3 linked regions of the Saccharomyces cerevisiae S288C genome follow. The protein of the gene in region 3 binds, or shares a complex with, the protein of the main gene of each other region. Each region holds a gene or a part of one and is shown on either strand. Other genes may lie near its edges. A codon is read from its position in the direction of its gene.

Region 1 (5,779 bases), on a different chromosome or scaffold from region 3:
AGAGTTAGAAACTATAGCCACTTACTGTTGGAATATCGGCGTCAATTACATAATCAAAGACAACAAAAGCAATGGAATTGTTTGGTGTAAACATTCAATGGGGTTCGCAAACATGGTTAATGAAGGCTTGCAGGAGCAATTGTACTCTTTATGGGAGTCTTTAGCAAGTTCGGCAAATATCGATATCAATAGTATTGCTAAATAAACCTTTTTTATTCCATTTACTGTCGTTTATACTGGCTGACCCTTAATTCCCTAGCAATCTTTGCCTGCACCCGTACCAGGAAGCGTGATAGAATCGGTAGCTACAAAATTTTTAGCATAGTTAATAAGTGCTATTGTTTTTCATAATGTCACGTGCACTATCAATAATATTACACTCTTGTTCTTGCCAAATATACACAAAATGCCACATTTTTTTCTTTACACCGAAGAATTTGGCCGTCAGCCGGACAGCGCTCAGATTAATTGTGGGCTAGATTCTTCACGCTGGAAACGAGTCACCGTTATGAAAACTAATGGAATCTCCCAGGTTTAATACATAAGAAGGTTACGAGCTACTACATTAAAAAATACTTTGTCTGTTTTAGCTGTAGATTATTGTAACATTAAAAAGTAACAAACACTGATTTCGGGTATTTCCTCCCTAACATGTCTTATTCAGCTGCCGATAATTTACAAGATTCATTCCAACGTGCCATGAACTTTTCTGGCTCTCCTGGTGCAGTCTCAACCTCACCAACTCAGTCATTTATGAACACACTACCTCGTCGTGTAAGCATTACAAAGCAACCAAAGGCTTTAAAACCTTTTTCTACTGGTGACATGAATATTCTACTGTTGGAAAATGTCAATGCAACTGCAATCAAAATCTTCAAGGATCAGGGTTACCAAGTAGAGTTCCACAAGTCTTCTCTACCTGAGGATGAATTGATTGAAAAAATCAAAGACGTACACGCTATCGGTATAAGATCCAAAACTAGATTGACTGAAAAAATACTACAGCATGCCAGGAATCTAGTTTGTATTGGTTGTTTTTGCATAGGTACCAATCAAGTAGACCTAAAATATGCCGCTAGTAAAGGTATTGCTGTTTTCAATTCGCCATTCTCCAATTCAAGATCCGTAGCAGAATTGGTAATTGGTGAGATCATTAGTTTAGCAAGACAATTAGGTGATAGATCCATTGAACTGCATACAGGTACATGGAATAAAGTCGCTGCTAGGTGTTGGGAAGTAAGAGGAAAAACTCTCGGTATTATTGGGTATGGTCACATTGGTTCGCAATTATCAGTTCTTGCAGAAGCTATGGGCCTGCATGTGCTATACTATGATATCGTGACAATTATGGCCTTAGGTACTGCCAGACAAGTTTCTACATTAGATGAATTGTTGAATAAATCTGATTTTGTAACACTACATGTACCAGCTACTCCAGAAACTGAAAAAATGTTATCTGCTCCACAATTCGCTGCTATGAAGGACGGGGCTTATGTTATTAATGCCTCAAGAGGTACTGTCGTGGACATTCCATCTCTGATCCAAGCCGTCAAGGCCAACAAAATTGCAGGTGCTGCTTTAGATGTTTATCCACATGAACCAGCTAAGAACGGTGAAGGTTCATTTAACGATGAACTTAACAGCTGGACTTCTGAGTTGGTTTCATTACCAAATATAATCCTGACACCACATATTGGTGGCTCTACAGAAGAAGCTCAAAGTTCAATCGGTATTGAGGTGGCTACTGCATTGTCCAAATACATCAATGAAGGTAACTCTGTCGGTTCTGTGAACTTCCCAGAAGTCAGTTTGAAGTCTTTGGACTACGATCAAGAGAACACAGTACGTGTCTTGTATATTCATCGTAACGTTCCTGGTGTTTTGAAGACCGTTAATGATATCTTATCCGATCATAATATCGAGAAACAGTTTTCTGATTCTCACGGCGAGATCGCTTATCTAATGGCAGACATCTCTTCTGTTAATCAAAGTGAAATCAAGGATATATATGAAAAGTTGAACCAAACTTCTGCCAAAGTTTCCATCAGGTTATTATACTAATTACTCAGATAAATAAAAATATATGTATAGATTTAAAATCCTCCCCTATCTTCATAGTATGTAAGATATGTTGAAACGGAATCGAGTAAAAAAATAGCCTTTGATTGCCCATTAAACTCCACAAAGTGCTGTCTCACGATTCATGGACGATAATCTGTCGAGCTTTTTCGATCTGCCTCTTATTGCCATTATTTCGAGGGTTTAGTGCGGGTAATAGCATATTGCTTTTCAATAGGAGAAGGGCGCATTTCATTTATTTTCGGTGGCAAAACTGGATACATAAAAGTATAATGCTTTGAATCCAAGGGAAAAAAAATTGTGGAACTCTATCCAGTAAAAGACCACCCAGAATAGATTGAGTTCAAATATAACCGGAAAAGATGTCTTTGACGACTGCTGCTCCTCTTTTAGCATTGTTGAGAGAGAATCAAGATTCTGTTAAAACATATGCCCTAGAATCTATAAATAATGTTGTGGACCAATTATGGTCTGAGATCTCGAATGAACTGCCGGATATTGAGGCATTGTATGATGACGATACCTTTTCAGACCGTGAAATGGCTGCTTTGATTGCATCCAAAGTTTATTACAATCTTGGTGAATACGAATCGGCTGTGAAGTATGCACTTGCCGCAAAGGATCGTTTTGATATAGACGAAAAGTCACAATTTGTTGAAACTATAGTCTCAAAGAGTATTGAGATGTACGTCCAAGAGGCTTCCAAGCAATACACTAAGGACGAACAATTTTACACCAAGGATATTATTGACCCAAAATTAACCTCTATTTTTGAGCGAATGATAGAAAAATGTTTGAAAGCTTCAGAATTAAAATTAGCTTTAGGAATTGCCTTAGAAGGTTACAGATTGGATATCATTGAAAGTGCTTTAAAGAGCAAATTGGATCAGGATTCCACTTCTGAAAACGTTAAAATTATTAACTACTTATTGACCTTAGCTATAACTACTGTGACAAATTCCAAGTTCAGATCCTCGATATTGAGAAAATCATTTGATTTCCTAATGAATATGCCTAACTGCGATTACTTAACGCTCAATAAAGTAGTTGTAAATTTGAATGACGCCGGATTGGCACTTCAGCTATTTAAAAAATTAAAGGAAGAGAACGATGAAGGATTATCTGCTCAAATTGCATTTGATTTGGTTTCGTCTGCGTCTCAGCAGTTGCTTGAGATTTTAGTAACCGAACTAACTGCCCAGGGTTACGATCCTGCCTTATTGAATATTCTATCTGGGCTACCGACTTGTGATTATTACAATACCTTCCTTTTGAATAATAAAAACATTGACATCGGTCTTTTAAACAAGTCTAAATCATCTTTGGATGGGAAATTTTCTTTGTTCCACACCGCAGTCAGCGTTGCCAACGGTTTTATGCACGCTGGTACTACCGACAATTCATTTATCAAGGCGAACTTGCCATGGTTAGGTAAGGCTCAAAATTGGGCTAAATTTACAGCTACAGCCTCTTTAGGTGTAATTCATAAAGGCAATTTATTGGAGGGTAAAAAAGTCATGGCCCCTTACTTGCCAGGCAGTCGAGCTTCTTCTAGGTTTATCAAAGGTGGTTCATTGTATGGTTTGGGTTTAATTTATGCTGGCTTTGGTCGTGATACAACTGACTATCTGAAAAACATAATAGTTGAGAATAGCGGAACTTCAGGCGATGAAGACGTAGATGTATTGTTACATGGTGCTTCACTGGGTATCGGTCTTGCTGCTATGGGTTCTGCTAATATTGAAGTTTATGAAGCCTTAAAGGAAGTTCTGTACAACGATTCTGCCACATCTGGAGAAGCAGCTGCATTAGGTATGGGTCTCTGTATGCTCGGAACAGGTAAGCCTGAAGCGATTCACGATATGTTTACATATTCCCAAGAAACGCAGCATGGCAATATTACTCGTGGTCTAGCCGTTGGTTTAGCACTGATAAATTACGGCCGTCAAGAGTTAGCTGATGATTTAATTACTAAGATGTTAGCAAGTGATGAGTCCTTGTTACGCTATGGAGGTGCATTCACAATCGCGTTAGCGTATGCGGGTACGGGAAATAATTCAGCTGTCAAGAGATTACTGCATGTGGCAGTCTCGGATTCTAACGATGATGTCAGAAGGGCAGCAGTCATCGCATTAGGGTTTGTTCTCTTGCGTGATTATACCACTGTACCAAGGATTGTCCAACTTCTATCTAAATCGCATAACGCTCATGTCAGATGTGGTACCGCATTTGCTCTTGGGATTGCTTGTGCCGGCAAGGGTTTACAATCAGCTATTGACGTTTTAGATCCGCTAACAAAGGACCCAGTAGATTTTGTTCGTCAGGCTGCCATGATAGCTTTATCCATGATTTTGATTCAACAAACAGAAAAACTAAACCCTCAAGTTGCTGATATTAACAAAAATTTTTTGAGCGTGATTACAAACAAACACCAAGAAGGTTTAGCCAAATTCGGTGCATGTGTGGCCCAAGGTATAATGAATGCCGGTGGGCGTAATGTTACAATTCAGCTGGAAAATGCGGATACAGGCACATTGGATACCAAGTCCGTAGTTGGTTTGGTCATGTTCTCACAATTCTGGTACTGGTTCCCACTGGCTCACTTTTTATCCCTTTCTTTTACACCAACAACTGTCATTGGTATTCGTGGTAGCGATCAAGCTATACCCAAATTTCAAATGAATTGTTACGCTAAAGAAGATGCATTCAGTTATCCGAGGATGTATGAGGAAGCAAGTGGTAAGGAGGTAGAGAAGGTAGCAACAGCTGTTCTTTCCACGACAGCAAGAGCAAAAGCAAGGGCAAAGAAGACAAAGAAGGAAAAGGGTCCAAATGAGGAAGAAAAGAAAAAAGAGCATGAGGAAAAAGAAAAGGAAAGAGAGACGAATAAAAAAGGCATAAAAGAAACAAAAGAAAACGACGAAGAATTTTACAAAAATAAGTACTCTTCTAAACCTTATAAAGTCGACAATATGACCCGTATACTACCACAACAATCGAGATATATTTCCTTTATTAAGGACGACAGATTTGTTCCTGTACGTAAATTCAAAGGAAATAACGGTGTGGTGGTTTTAAGAGATAGGGAACCCAAGGAACCTGTAGCACTAATTGAAACTGTTAGGCAAATGAAAGATGTTAACGCTCCACTTCCAACCCCATTTAAGGTCGATGATAATGTCGACTTCCCTAGTGCTTAGATCAAGGGTGCATGGTCGTACAGAAAATGAAGAATTAGTTCAAAATGCCAGAAAATAAATAATAGTGTACATACTTTTAAAAAAAAATCATTGAATTATTCTGCCAGGATTAGCTACTTTACGCATAATTCTAACGTGACAAATGTTGTTTCCGCTTTGTTAATTATACTTTATATGATTTTGTTCAAGCCATGTCAACCTCATTTATGGTACCATCTTATTCGGCTTTATCAAAATAGTATATAGGCATATACATGAAATATTTTTTTCTTTTTCTAAAAAACCTACATGTTTAATGTGAGATATTACGTAAATCAGTTGGACGTATCATATTTCCTCACTAATTCATCGAATTTTGCGTCAATTTCTTGGTGATGCTTGATGAATGCATGTTCGTGATCCAATTTAACCAATTGATTTGTTAAATCTTCAGTATCAAGACCTTGCATAAGAGCAAGCGTAATTTGGTTTGCTAAGAAAGTAGGTTTGTACAATACGGC
Region 2 (4,182 bases), on a different chromosome or scaffold from region 3:
ACTTAATAACTGCTGAATCGGTAAAATAATTTCATTGAAAGCAGGTAAGCTCTTCCACACAGTAGAGATAGTTGCATCTAAAGATTCCATAACATTTAGTAAAACGGAGACACATTGATCAACCGGATGTGCCTCGGTATCCATTGTTGACAAGGTATGTAATGGAATAATAGTTGATCTCTTTTTTGTAAAGTCAACGTCCAATGGAAGCCCCAACTCGTAAGAGTCTAGTCTAATATTTTCAAAATCTAATGGTTTTTCTTGATTTTCTTTCTCAACTATAAAAGTGAGTAATATTTTTTGAAAGAAGTAAACCACCTCCGGTATGTACCGTTTGGAAATGCGTTGATATTGTGAAACAATCCTTACCAAGACAGCGCCAAAAGCTATCCTCTTTAAAGAATTAAACTTGATTTGTTCCAGGAACTGGCTCATTAAAATCAATGCTGGAGTTATTACTAAATGGTACTGGTCCGAGGTGGAGAAAAGAATACCAATAATGGAAAAAAATACCAGATCACCATTTGATAGAGCATCAAAATGGTTCTTTTTATAGCGTGCTTGCATTTCATTGATATAATCTCTACACTCCTCGGAAAGCTCTCTATTATATTTCTCTGAAAGGGATTTTAGAATTGAGATCAATGCATTTTGTGTACGTTTAAAACTTTGAACGTTTTTAAGGTAGTTTTGATTGCTTAGAAAAATGATGTGTCTCAGTAAAACAGCGGTGAATTTTCCTAACTTTTCCTTATTACCTTCAGCCAATTTTGGTTGGTAAGCTTTGATAATATTCTTAACAATCTTAGGATGATCATCTAAGTCTAATTTTTTTACTTGATCTAATAACGCATCATGAGTTCTAGGGCATGAAATGGAAATGTTCTTTTTCTTTAAAATTTGAGAAAACCCTTCATCTCTGCCTTGATCTTCAAATTTGATATCATCATCAGAATCAGCAATACCGTCATTATCGTCTTCATAGTCTTCTTCATTTTCCCAGAATCCATCATCCAAATCCTCTACTCCTCTTTCTTCGCCTTCTTCTAATTCAATCATACCGTTCATACGATCAAGACGCTGTTGTTCCAACTCCCGTTTTTTTTCTTCAGCTTCAGCGTTTTTCTCCTCTTCAGTTTTAGTTCTATCAGAGGGTGCAGCTCTTTTGTCCAATTGTAGTTCTTTCACTTTGATATCATACTCCTTATCTAGATCGGTCTTAGGTTCCATTGGATTCTTCTTGGGTTGCGTCATCATCAATTCAGACATAACATCCTCGAAATTATCATCCAGATTATCTATTTGATCTTCCATTATACCTTGAGCCTTTTGTCTTTCTTGTTTGTAAAATTTTGATTTGGCAATGACCTCTTTCATGACTTCAGCTTTGGTTTTTTTTCTTTGAGGTTGCTGTAGCTCAGCATCATCTTCATTGAATCGTTTGGAAGCTAAAAAATCCTCTTCATCATTGGCAAGCTCATCTTCTAGGGACAGCGATTGACCTAAATGTGTAAGACCGTCTCCAAACATGTCACCGTCGTCTTCATCGTCTTCAAGATTGAATAAATTTGCGTTTCTCTTTGATTGGCTTTGTCTTTCTCTGGTGAAACGTTCCAACATTTTTTCTTCTTCCGTCAACAACTTGTCTCTTTCACCAAATCTCTTATCGATCACACCACCACGTTTATTCTTCATCATTTTTCTTGCTTCAAATGCACGCTTTCTTTGTTCTTCACCGATCTGTTTAGAGATACCAGGCTTACCCACAGCAATACGATCAGCAGTTTTAGAAGGCAGACCATCTCTCCTCTTATTCCTTGCAGCCTTTATTTCAAACGGATTAAACTCTTCTCTGATTTCAGCAATGGCCTTTTTTTTTTCTTCACGATCATACTCCTTCGCTTGTCTTTTGGAATTCTTTTTATTCTTACTTTTGACGTTTGTTTGACCTGTGAGTCCACGGGCCTTCAAGGCGGCCTTTAAATTCTTAAGTTGTGAACCGGCCATGTATTTGATCTTCCCTTTTATTTGCTTCTCAACTGTACTATTTACAGTAATAATTAGTGCAACCTTCAGATGCTTCTCGCTAAATGCTCATCTCTAAATTATCATTATTATTCCTAATAAATCCTAAAATTTTTCACTCGTTCTGTACGGCTCATCGCCCCAATATTACCCGTCTTGTATGTGATCTTTTTGACTTTTCGGTGGCAAAATGCAAAGGGGAATCCAAGGAAAAACCATAACAGGACACTACATCAGAGATAATCTTGAATTAAGAGAGTAGAGGAATATACTGCTGGGCTCACTACCATTTTTGTTGCTAGAGTAAACGTAGAGAAAGATGTCAAGAGATGCACCAATTAAGGCTGACAAGGATTATAGCCAAATTTTGAAGGAAGAGTTTCCTAAGATCGATTCGCTCGCTCAAAATGATTGTAACTCTGCTTTAGACCAACTGTTAGTGTTGGAGAAGAAAACCAGACAAGCTTCAGATCTGGCCTCCTCGAAAGAAGTTTTGGCCAAGATTGTAGATCTGCTAGCATCAAGGAATAAGTGGGACGACCTAAATGAGCAATTGACTCTACTCTCAAAAAAGCATGGTCAGTTGAAATTGTCAATTCAGTATATGATACAAAAGGTTATGGAATATTTGAAAAGCTCGAAATCTTTGGATTTAAACACCAGAATTAGTGTCATTGAAACTATCAGGGTGGTTACAGAGAACAAAATATTTGTAGAAGTGGAAAGAGCTAGGGTCACCAAAGATTTGGTGGAAATTAAGAAAGAAGAGGGTAAGATTGATGAAGCTGCAGACATCTTGTGTGAGTTACAGGTTGAGACCTATGGCTCCATGGAAATGTCTGAGAAAATTCAGTTTATATTAGAGCAAATGGAATTGAGTATATTAAAAGGTGATTATTCCCAAGCCACGGTGCTTTCAAGAAAAATTCTGAAAAAAACTTTTAAAAATCCAAAATACGAGTCATTGAAGCTAGAATATTATAATCTTCTGGTAAAAATTAGTTTGCACAAGAGAGAATACCTAGAAGTTGCGCAGTATCTGCAAGAAATTTATCAAACAGACGCCATTAAATCAGATGAGGCTAAGTGGAAACCTGTTTTATCGCACATTGTATATTTCTTAGTCCTTTCACCTTACGGCAATTTACAAAATGATTTAATTCACAAAATCCAGAATGATAACAACCTGAAAAAATTAGAAAGCCAAGAATCTTTAGTAAAATTGTTTACTACGAATGAGTTGATGAGATGGCCAATTGTTCAAAAAACCTATGAGCCCGTCTTAAATGAGGATGATTTGGCATTTGGTGGAGAAGCTAATAAGCATCACTGGGAAGATTTACAAAAAAGGGTCATCGAGCACAATTTAAGAGTCATTTCCGAATACTATTCCAGAATTACTTTACTAAGATTGAATGAATTGCTGGACCTAACGGAGAGCCAGACGGAAACATACATCAGTGATTTGGTAAACCAGGGCATCATATACGCTAAAGTTAATCGCCCAGCCAAAATCGTGAATTTTGAAAAACCAAAAAACTCAAGCCAATTATTGAACGAATGGTCACATAATGTTGACGAACTATTAGAACATATAGAAACAATAGGCCATTTAATTACAAAAGAGGAAATCATGCACGGTTTGCAAGCTAAATGAAGAGATTTTCGAGTAAGTGTCGGATTATCTCAGATCCGGTTTTGATTTTAAATCTGTTACTAATCGAAATGTGTATTTACGTACGTGAGATAAAATTATCTATGCATATATATAACTCAAATGGAAAATGGCCACGTATTGCTCTCATTCTCTTCACTTGCTTACACAAAACATAAGGTGACAATTAATGGAATTTTAGTTTTTCAATTTTTCAGGGGAAAGAAGACACCCAAAAAAAAAGTGAAAAGTCAAAACGGTAAACTGTTTATGGTATTTAAATGACATTAATAGCAGCGTAAAGAGTCATTTTTTCGTTTGATTAGCAAAACTCTGAACATTAATTACTACACCTATAGACATATCTTTAAACAGTGAAATATTTTTTTCATTTAGTAAACAAGAATTAAACTTTGAATATTTTTTTTTCGATTAACTTATGTCACTTTAGCCTATACTTTCTTCGAACATTTTTCCTTTCATTTTGACTCATGATATTAGAT
Region 3 (4,396 bases):
AAAAAAAAAAAAAACTGGAAAATCTTGATAAAAAAATGACGAAATAGGAAAAAAAATTGGCAGCAATCTAACCATGCTCTTCATGGTTCATCATTTAGTGGGCGTTAACCTAAAGCGCTGTTTATAATGGAGGTTGATAACAAAAGGAGACATTCAGAAGATGAGTTAAAACAGGAGGCAGTAAAAAAGATAAAGTCTCAGGAACCAAACTATGCCTATCTTGAGACTGTAGTAAGAGAAAAACTAGATTTCGATTCTGAGAAAATTTGCTGCATTACTCTGTCCCCTTTGAATGTATATTGTTGCCTCGTGTGTGGACATTATTATCAGGGGAGACATGAAAAGAGTCCTGCTTTCATACATTCAATTGATGAAAACCATCACGTCTTCTTGAATTTGACAAGTTTGAAGTTTTACATGTTGCCGCAAAATGTCCAAATTTTACATGACGGTGAGGTTCAATTGTTGAACAGCATAAAATTTGCAGCTTATCCGACTTATTGTCCAAAAGATCTAGAAGATTTTCCGAGACAGTGTTTTGATTTGAGCAATCGCACATATCTGAATGGATTTATAGGGTTCACCAATGCGGCAACTTATGACTATGCGCATAGTGTATTGCTTTTGATATCGCACATGGTTCCAGTGCGGGACCACTTCCTACTGAATCATTTTGATAATCAAGGGGAATTTATCAAAAGGTTATCCATATGTGTAAAGAAAATTTGGTCCCCTAAACTATTCAAACATCATCTTTCAGTTGACGATTTTGTATCCTATTTGAAAGTTAGAGAAGGTTTAAATTTAAATCCTATAGACCCGCGTCTCTTCCTTTTGTGGCTATTCAATAAAATTTGCTCGTCCTCGAACGACTTAAAGTCAATTTTAAACCATTCTTGTAAAGGCAAAGTAAAGATAGCAAAAGTTGAAAATAAGCCTGAGGCCAGTGAGTCTGTTACAGGAAAAGTCATTGTCAAACCATTTTGGGTTCTGACTCTCGATTTGCCGGAGTTTTCACCCTTTGAAGATGGCAACAGCGTTGATGATCTCCCACAAATAAATATCACTAAATTATTGACTAAATTTACTAAGTCAAGAAGCTCCTCTACTAGCACCGTTTTTGAACTAACGCGATTACCGCAGTTTTTAATATTTCATTTCAATAGGTTTGACCGTAACAGTGATCATCCTGTCAAAAATAGAAACCAAACGTTGGTGGAATTTTCCAGTGAACTTGAAATTTTGCACGTCAAGTATCGCTTAAAAGCAAATGTGGTCCATGTGGTCATTAAACAACCATCCACAGATGGAAACGCATTTAATGGTGATGAAAAAAGCCATTGGATTACTCAGCTGTATGATAACAAAAGTGAAAAATGGATAGAAATAGATGGCATAAATACGACAGAGAGAGAAGCCGAGCTTTTATTTTTGAAGGAAACGTTTATACAAGTATGGGAAAAGCAAGAGTGAAAGAAAAGAAAGTAAAAAAAAAAATTGGCACTGGGACTACCAGTAGCCATTTCATTTTTACTGTTATTTAAGGAGCCTTTTCCCTCCTAACGCGTTTTCTCTTTCCCATTCATTCCATTAACTACTTCATTAGAATTTTTAGAAAAATACAATATAATATATATGTAGTGGGCTTTCTAGTTATTTAATGCATAATGACTTTATAAAATTTGTTTATTTAATTGCCACTGAATTAACACCCGCCGTCAGCACAGAAACAATATTGTTCTCTAGTGTCTCATCTGCTGTTTCGGAAAGGTGCTTCTTTGGATCTTGCCTACCAACGTATCTTGTCTTAAGTTCTTCTTCGGTTAATTCCTTTTCCTCTTCTATTCTCTTAGAGTACTGTTCGGCTATCTTAACCATACTCTTTGTAGCAGCCAAATTTGATTCTTCTTTTTCTTCATAATCGTACATCTTAAGACCTGATTGCCACTGTTCTTTATGTAAGTTCATTAACATCTTGGTTTCCTTCGCGGTTTTATGATAATCAATATTTAAAGAATAGTAATGCCTATTCAGACCGTGAATTAAGGCTTGAATGTTGGCCTTGTTCAATAAGCCTGTGTTGGAGGTTGTTTGTCTAGGCTCTAAGTTATTTATCAATGCGCCCGTGTCAATCAATCTAAAAGCATCGATGACAACTTTTCCCTTAACGGATTGAATAGGGTCAACAACGACAGCAACAGCTCTGCTGTTTAGTTGTTCAAAAGATTTTTGAGTATTAACATCAACAGAAGATAGCCAACAGCCAAACCCTGGATGAGAGTGGTACCAGCCAACGACCATTTGGTCTCTGCCCGTTTGTTTTAACATGTCCATCATCTTCGCTTGGAAAACATCATCGACAGCCTCAACAGAAACTCCGGTACCCGATTGAGGCATCGCAAACACGTCCACAACGTTAACCGTATAATCATCGACAAACTCACCTAACATCAACCCCATGACTTCCATGGGAACACCAGCTCTACCATGCTTTAGCATCTTTAAAAGCGCAATCGAAGAAATATAAACAGTTTCTTTCGTATCGTCACGGCCGGTGTCCGCGGACCCCACCTTACTATTCATCATCAATCTCTGTAGTCGTTCCATTATGTCTCGTCTTTCTTGTTAAGTCCTCTTAATTGTGTTATCACCTGCTATTTTTCTTTCTCAATATTAATACTGGTCATAAACCGTTTCTTAGCTTAAAGGCTTTTCTTGTGAATTTGCCACCTTGGAGGTCCGAAATCATCAGCGACGTGCGTTTCAGTATAAACAAGGGGCCGTATTTATCATTTAGAAACAATTCGAGTCAAGGGTCCCAAGAGCTTATAACTGCCAGGAGTTGCGAGCTAAGTCTTCAATTAAGTCTATAAGGATGAGTGGAAATCAAATGGCTATGGGATCAGAACAACAACAGACCGTAGGGTCCCGAACGGTGAGTGTGGAAGAGGTTCCCGCAGTTTTGCAGCTTCGAGCAACTCAAGATCCTCCAAGAAGCCAGGAGGCAATGCCTACAAGGCACAATGTAAGATGGGAAGAAAATGTGATTGACAATGAAAACATGAATAAAAAAAAGACCAAGATATGCTGCATTTTTCATCCACAAAATGAGGATGAAGAAGAGTGCAACCATCATTCAGATGATGATGGATCCTCTTCTTCCGGATCCTCTTCTTCAGAATCTGAGAATGAGAAGGATCTTGACTTTAACGAACGTAGACAAAGAAGATTGGAAAGGCGCCATCGTAAACTTGAGAAAAAAAGGTCATATAGCCCCAATGCTTATGAAATCCAACCAGATTATTCTGAATACAGGCGAAAACAGCAGGAAAAGAAGGACTGAGGCTTTGTACAACGAAAGCCAAAATATTCGATGAAGCAGCAAATGGCTTTTTATACTTTTACTAAGTATGCGCGCATACTGATATATAGATATAAACAAAAATATACAATATTTAAAAAAATCATAGAGAGACGTCTATATTAATTAAAGTGCTGTACGTTTCCCTTGGCATTCTGTATTGAATCATACCAGCATAAATCATACATTGTCTCGCAACATTTTTTAAGGAATCAATTTGTTGACCTTTTGTGGACGATTGATACTTACTTTCGTTCAAGATATGAATCATGTTCGATATACAGCTTAGAGTGATAATCAACAAATTTGGAATATTTTTCACAATGTTGTCATCTAAATTAGAGAAATCTTGTGCTTTCTTTCTAGCAGATAGCTCGTCTGAGAAAGGAAGTAAATCCAATAACTCCATTTGGGATAGTGTTTCTTGCCATTGTTTATTGAAATATAGCTCCCTGATAGAGGAGATATTTAAGAGCAGCATACAAATTTCTTTGTTTTTAACATGAATCTGTCTCGATATACCAGCATTATCAAAATATATGGACGCCATCCTCCTAGCCAACAAGACAGGATTCGTCTCGCTATTGTCATCAGGTCCAACCAATGGTTGATCTAAATCTGACGCACTAAGTGTATCACTTAATAAACTATTGACGAGGGTAATAACTATGTCATATTCTTCAGCAAGCTGGTACAGTAATATACTATCATATATTCTGCCGTCTTCGTCTGCCCTTCTTGCTGCTTGTTCTGTAATTGTATGCAAAAACTCCTTTTCATCACGAACGTGTAATAAAGGTTGTCTTTCTTCGATCACCCCCGGAATTCTAGCTCCATCGCGTCCAATTTTACCCAAAAGAACAGTAAATTCCTTAGTTTCCAATACTAGCTCCCTCAACGCCTCATGGCATAACTCGACATCGGTAGGTCCTTCATTTAGAGTTATTAAAACCAAATATTCGACAGCAACTCTAGGATCTGAATACCTAAAGGACTTGGTATAATTAGCTAGTATGTTTGCGAACCTGATATCCC

What was found.
Region 1: the proteins of RPN11 (region 3) and RPN2 are in contact, whole or in part, in a cryo-EM structure (PDB 5MPE), measured with the Saccharomyces cerevisiae proteins. Residues at the interface, in NP_116659.1 of Saccharomyces cerevisiae: Thr18 (codon at 2,556), Gly19 (codon at 2,553), Arg20 (codon at 2,550), Asp21 (codon at 2,547), Val58 (codon at 2,436), Asp59 (codon at 2,433), Tyr61 (codon at 2,427), Asn167 (codon at 2,109), Leu168 (codon at 2,106), Pro170 (codon at 2,100), Arg171 (codon at 2,097), Thr173 (codon at 2,091), Thr174 (codon at 2,088), Ser175 (codon at 2,085), Asn176 (codon at 2,082), Thr177 (codon at 2,079), Leu179 (codon at 2,073), Lys182 (codon at 2,064); in NP_012190.1 of Saccharomyces cerevisiae: Lys324 (codon at 3,411), Phe325 (codon at 3,414), Ser326 (codon at 3,417), Leu327 (codon at 3,420), Gln360 (codon at 3,519), Asn361 (codon at 3,522), Trp362 (codon at 3,525), Arg398 (codon at 3,633), Phe399 (codon at 3,636), Glu437 (codon at 3,750), Ala475 (codon at 3,864), Gln509 (codon at 3,966), His510 (codon at 3,969), Gly511 (codon at 3,972), Asn512 (codon at 3,975), Phe651 (codon at 4,392), Glu692 (codon at 4,515), Leu694 (codon at 4,521), Trp740 (codon at 4,659), Trp742 (codon at 4,665), Phe743 (codon at 4,668).
Region 2: the proteins of RPN11 (region 3) and RPN5 are in contact, whole or in part, in a cryo-EM structure (PDB 3JCK), measured with the Saccharomyces cerevisiae proteins. Residues at the interface, in NP_116659.1 of Saccharomyces cerevisiae: Pro46 (codon at 2,472), Met47 (codon at 2,469), Glu48 (codon at 2,466), Gln73 (codon at 2,391), Ser74 (codon at 2,388), Gly75 (codon at 2,385), Thr76 (codon at 2,382), Gly77 (codon at 2,379), His111 (codon at 2,277), Phe114 (codon at 2,268), Trp117 (codon at 2,259), Ser119 (codon at 2,253), Asp122 (codon at 2,244), Lys148 (codon at 2,166), Gly149 (codon at 2,163), Gln186 (codon at 2,052), Ile189 (codon at 2,043), Trp221 (codon at 1,947), Gln222 (codon at 1,944), Leu225 (codon at 1,935), Lys226 (codon at 1,932), Met227 (codon at 1,929), Asp229 (codon at 1,923), Tyr230 (codon at 1,920), Glu231 (codon at 1,917), Ala298 (codon at 1,716), Asn301 (codon at 1,707), Ser302 (codon at 1,704), Ile305 (codon at 1,695); in NP_010134.1 of Saccharomyces cerevisiae: Gln242 (codon at 3,068), Tyr273 (codon at 3,161), Gly274 (codon at 3,164), Asn275 (codon at 3,167), Leu276 (codon at 3,170), Asn278 (codon at 3,176), Asp279 (codon at 3,179), Leu280 (codon at 3,182), His282 (codon at 3,188), Lys283 (codon at 3,191), Asn385 (codon at 3,497), Gly387 (codon at 3,503), Ser409 (codon at 3,569), Leu412 (codon at 3,578), Asn413 (codon at 3,581), Trp415 (codon at 3,587), Ser416 (codon at 3,590), His417 (codon at 3,593), Asp420 (codon at 3,602), Glu421 (codon at 3,605), Leu422 (codon at 3,608), Leu423 (codon at 3,611), Glu424 (codon at 3,614), Glu427 (codon at 3,623).

The regions. Positions count from the first base shown.
Region 1 is NC_001141.2:217,363-223,141, reverse strand, and holds RPN2 (proteasome regulatory particle base subunit RPN2), read left to right. Parts: upstream 1-2,441; coding exon 2,442-5,279; downstream 5,280-5,779. Other genes in the region: SPO22 (Spo22p), read left to right, coding at 1-205; phosphoglycerate dehydrogenase SER33, read left to right, coding at 652-2,061; SEC28 (coatomer subunit epsilon), read right to left, coding at 5,594-5,779. UniProt on the Saccharomyces cerevisiae protein: Acts as a regulatory subunit of the 26S proteasome which is involved in the ATP-dependent degradation of ubiquitinated proteins.
Region 2 is NC_001136.10:188,580-192,761, forward strand, and holds RPN5 (proteasome regulatory particle lid subunit RPN5), read left to right. Parts: upstream 1-2,344; coding exon 2,345-3,682; downstream 3,683-4,182. Other genes in the region: snoRNA-binding rRNA-processing protein NOP14, read right to left, coding at 1-2,007; LDB17 (Ldb17p), read left to right, coding at 4,171-4,182. UniProt on the Saccharomyces cerevisiae protein: Acts as a regulatory subunit of the 26S proteasome which is involved in the ATP-dependent degradation of ubiquitinated proteins.
Region 3 is NC_001138.5:151,604-155,999, reverse strand, and holds RPN11 (proteasome regulatory particle lid subunit RPN11), read right to left. Parts: upstream 2,608-4,396; coding exon 1,687-2,607; downstream 1-1,686. Other genes in the region: mRNA splicing protein SAD1, read left to right, coding at 127-1,473; type 1 protein phosphatase-activating protein YPI1, read left to right, coding at 2,876-3,343; linker nucleoporin NIC96, read right to left, coding at 3,465-4,396. UniProt on the Saccharomyces cerevisiae protein: Component of the lid subcomplex of the 26S proteasome, a multiprotein complex involved in the ATP-dependent degradation of ubiquitinated proteins.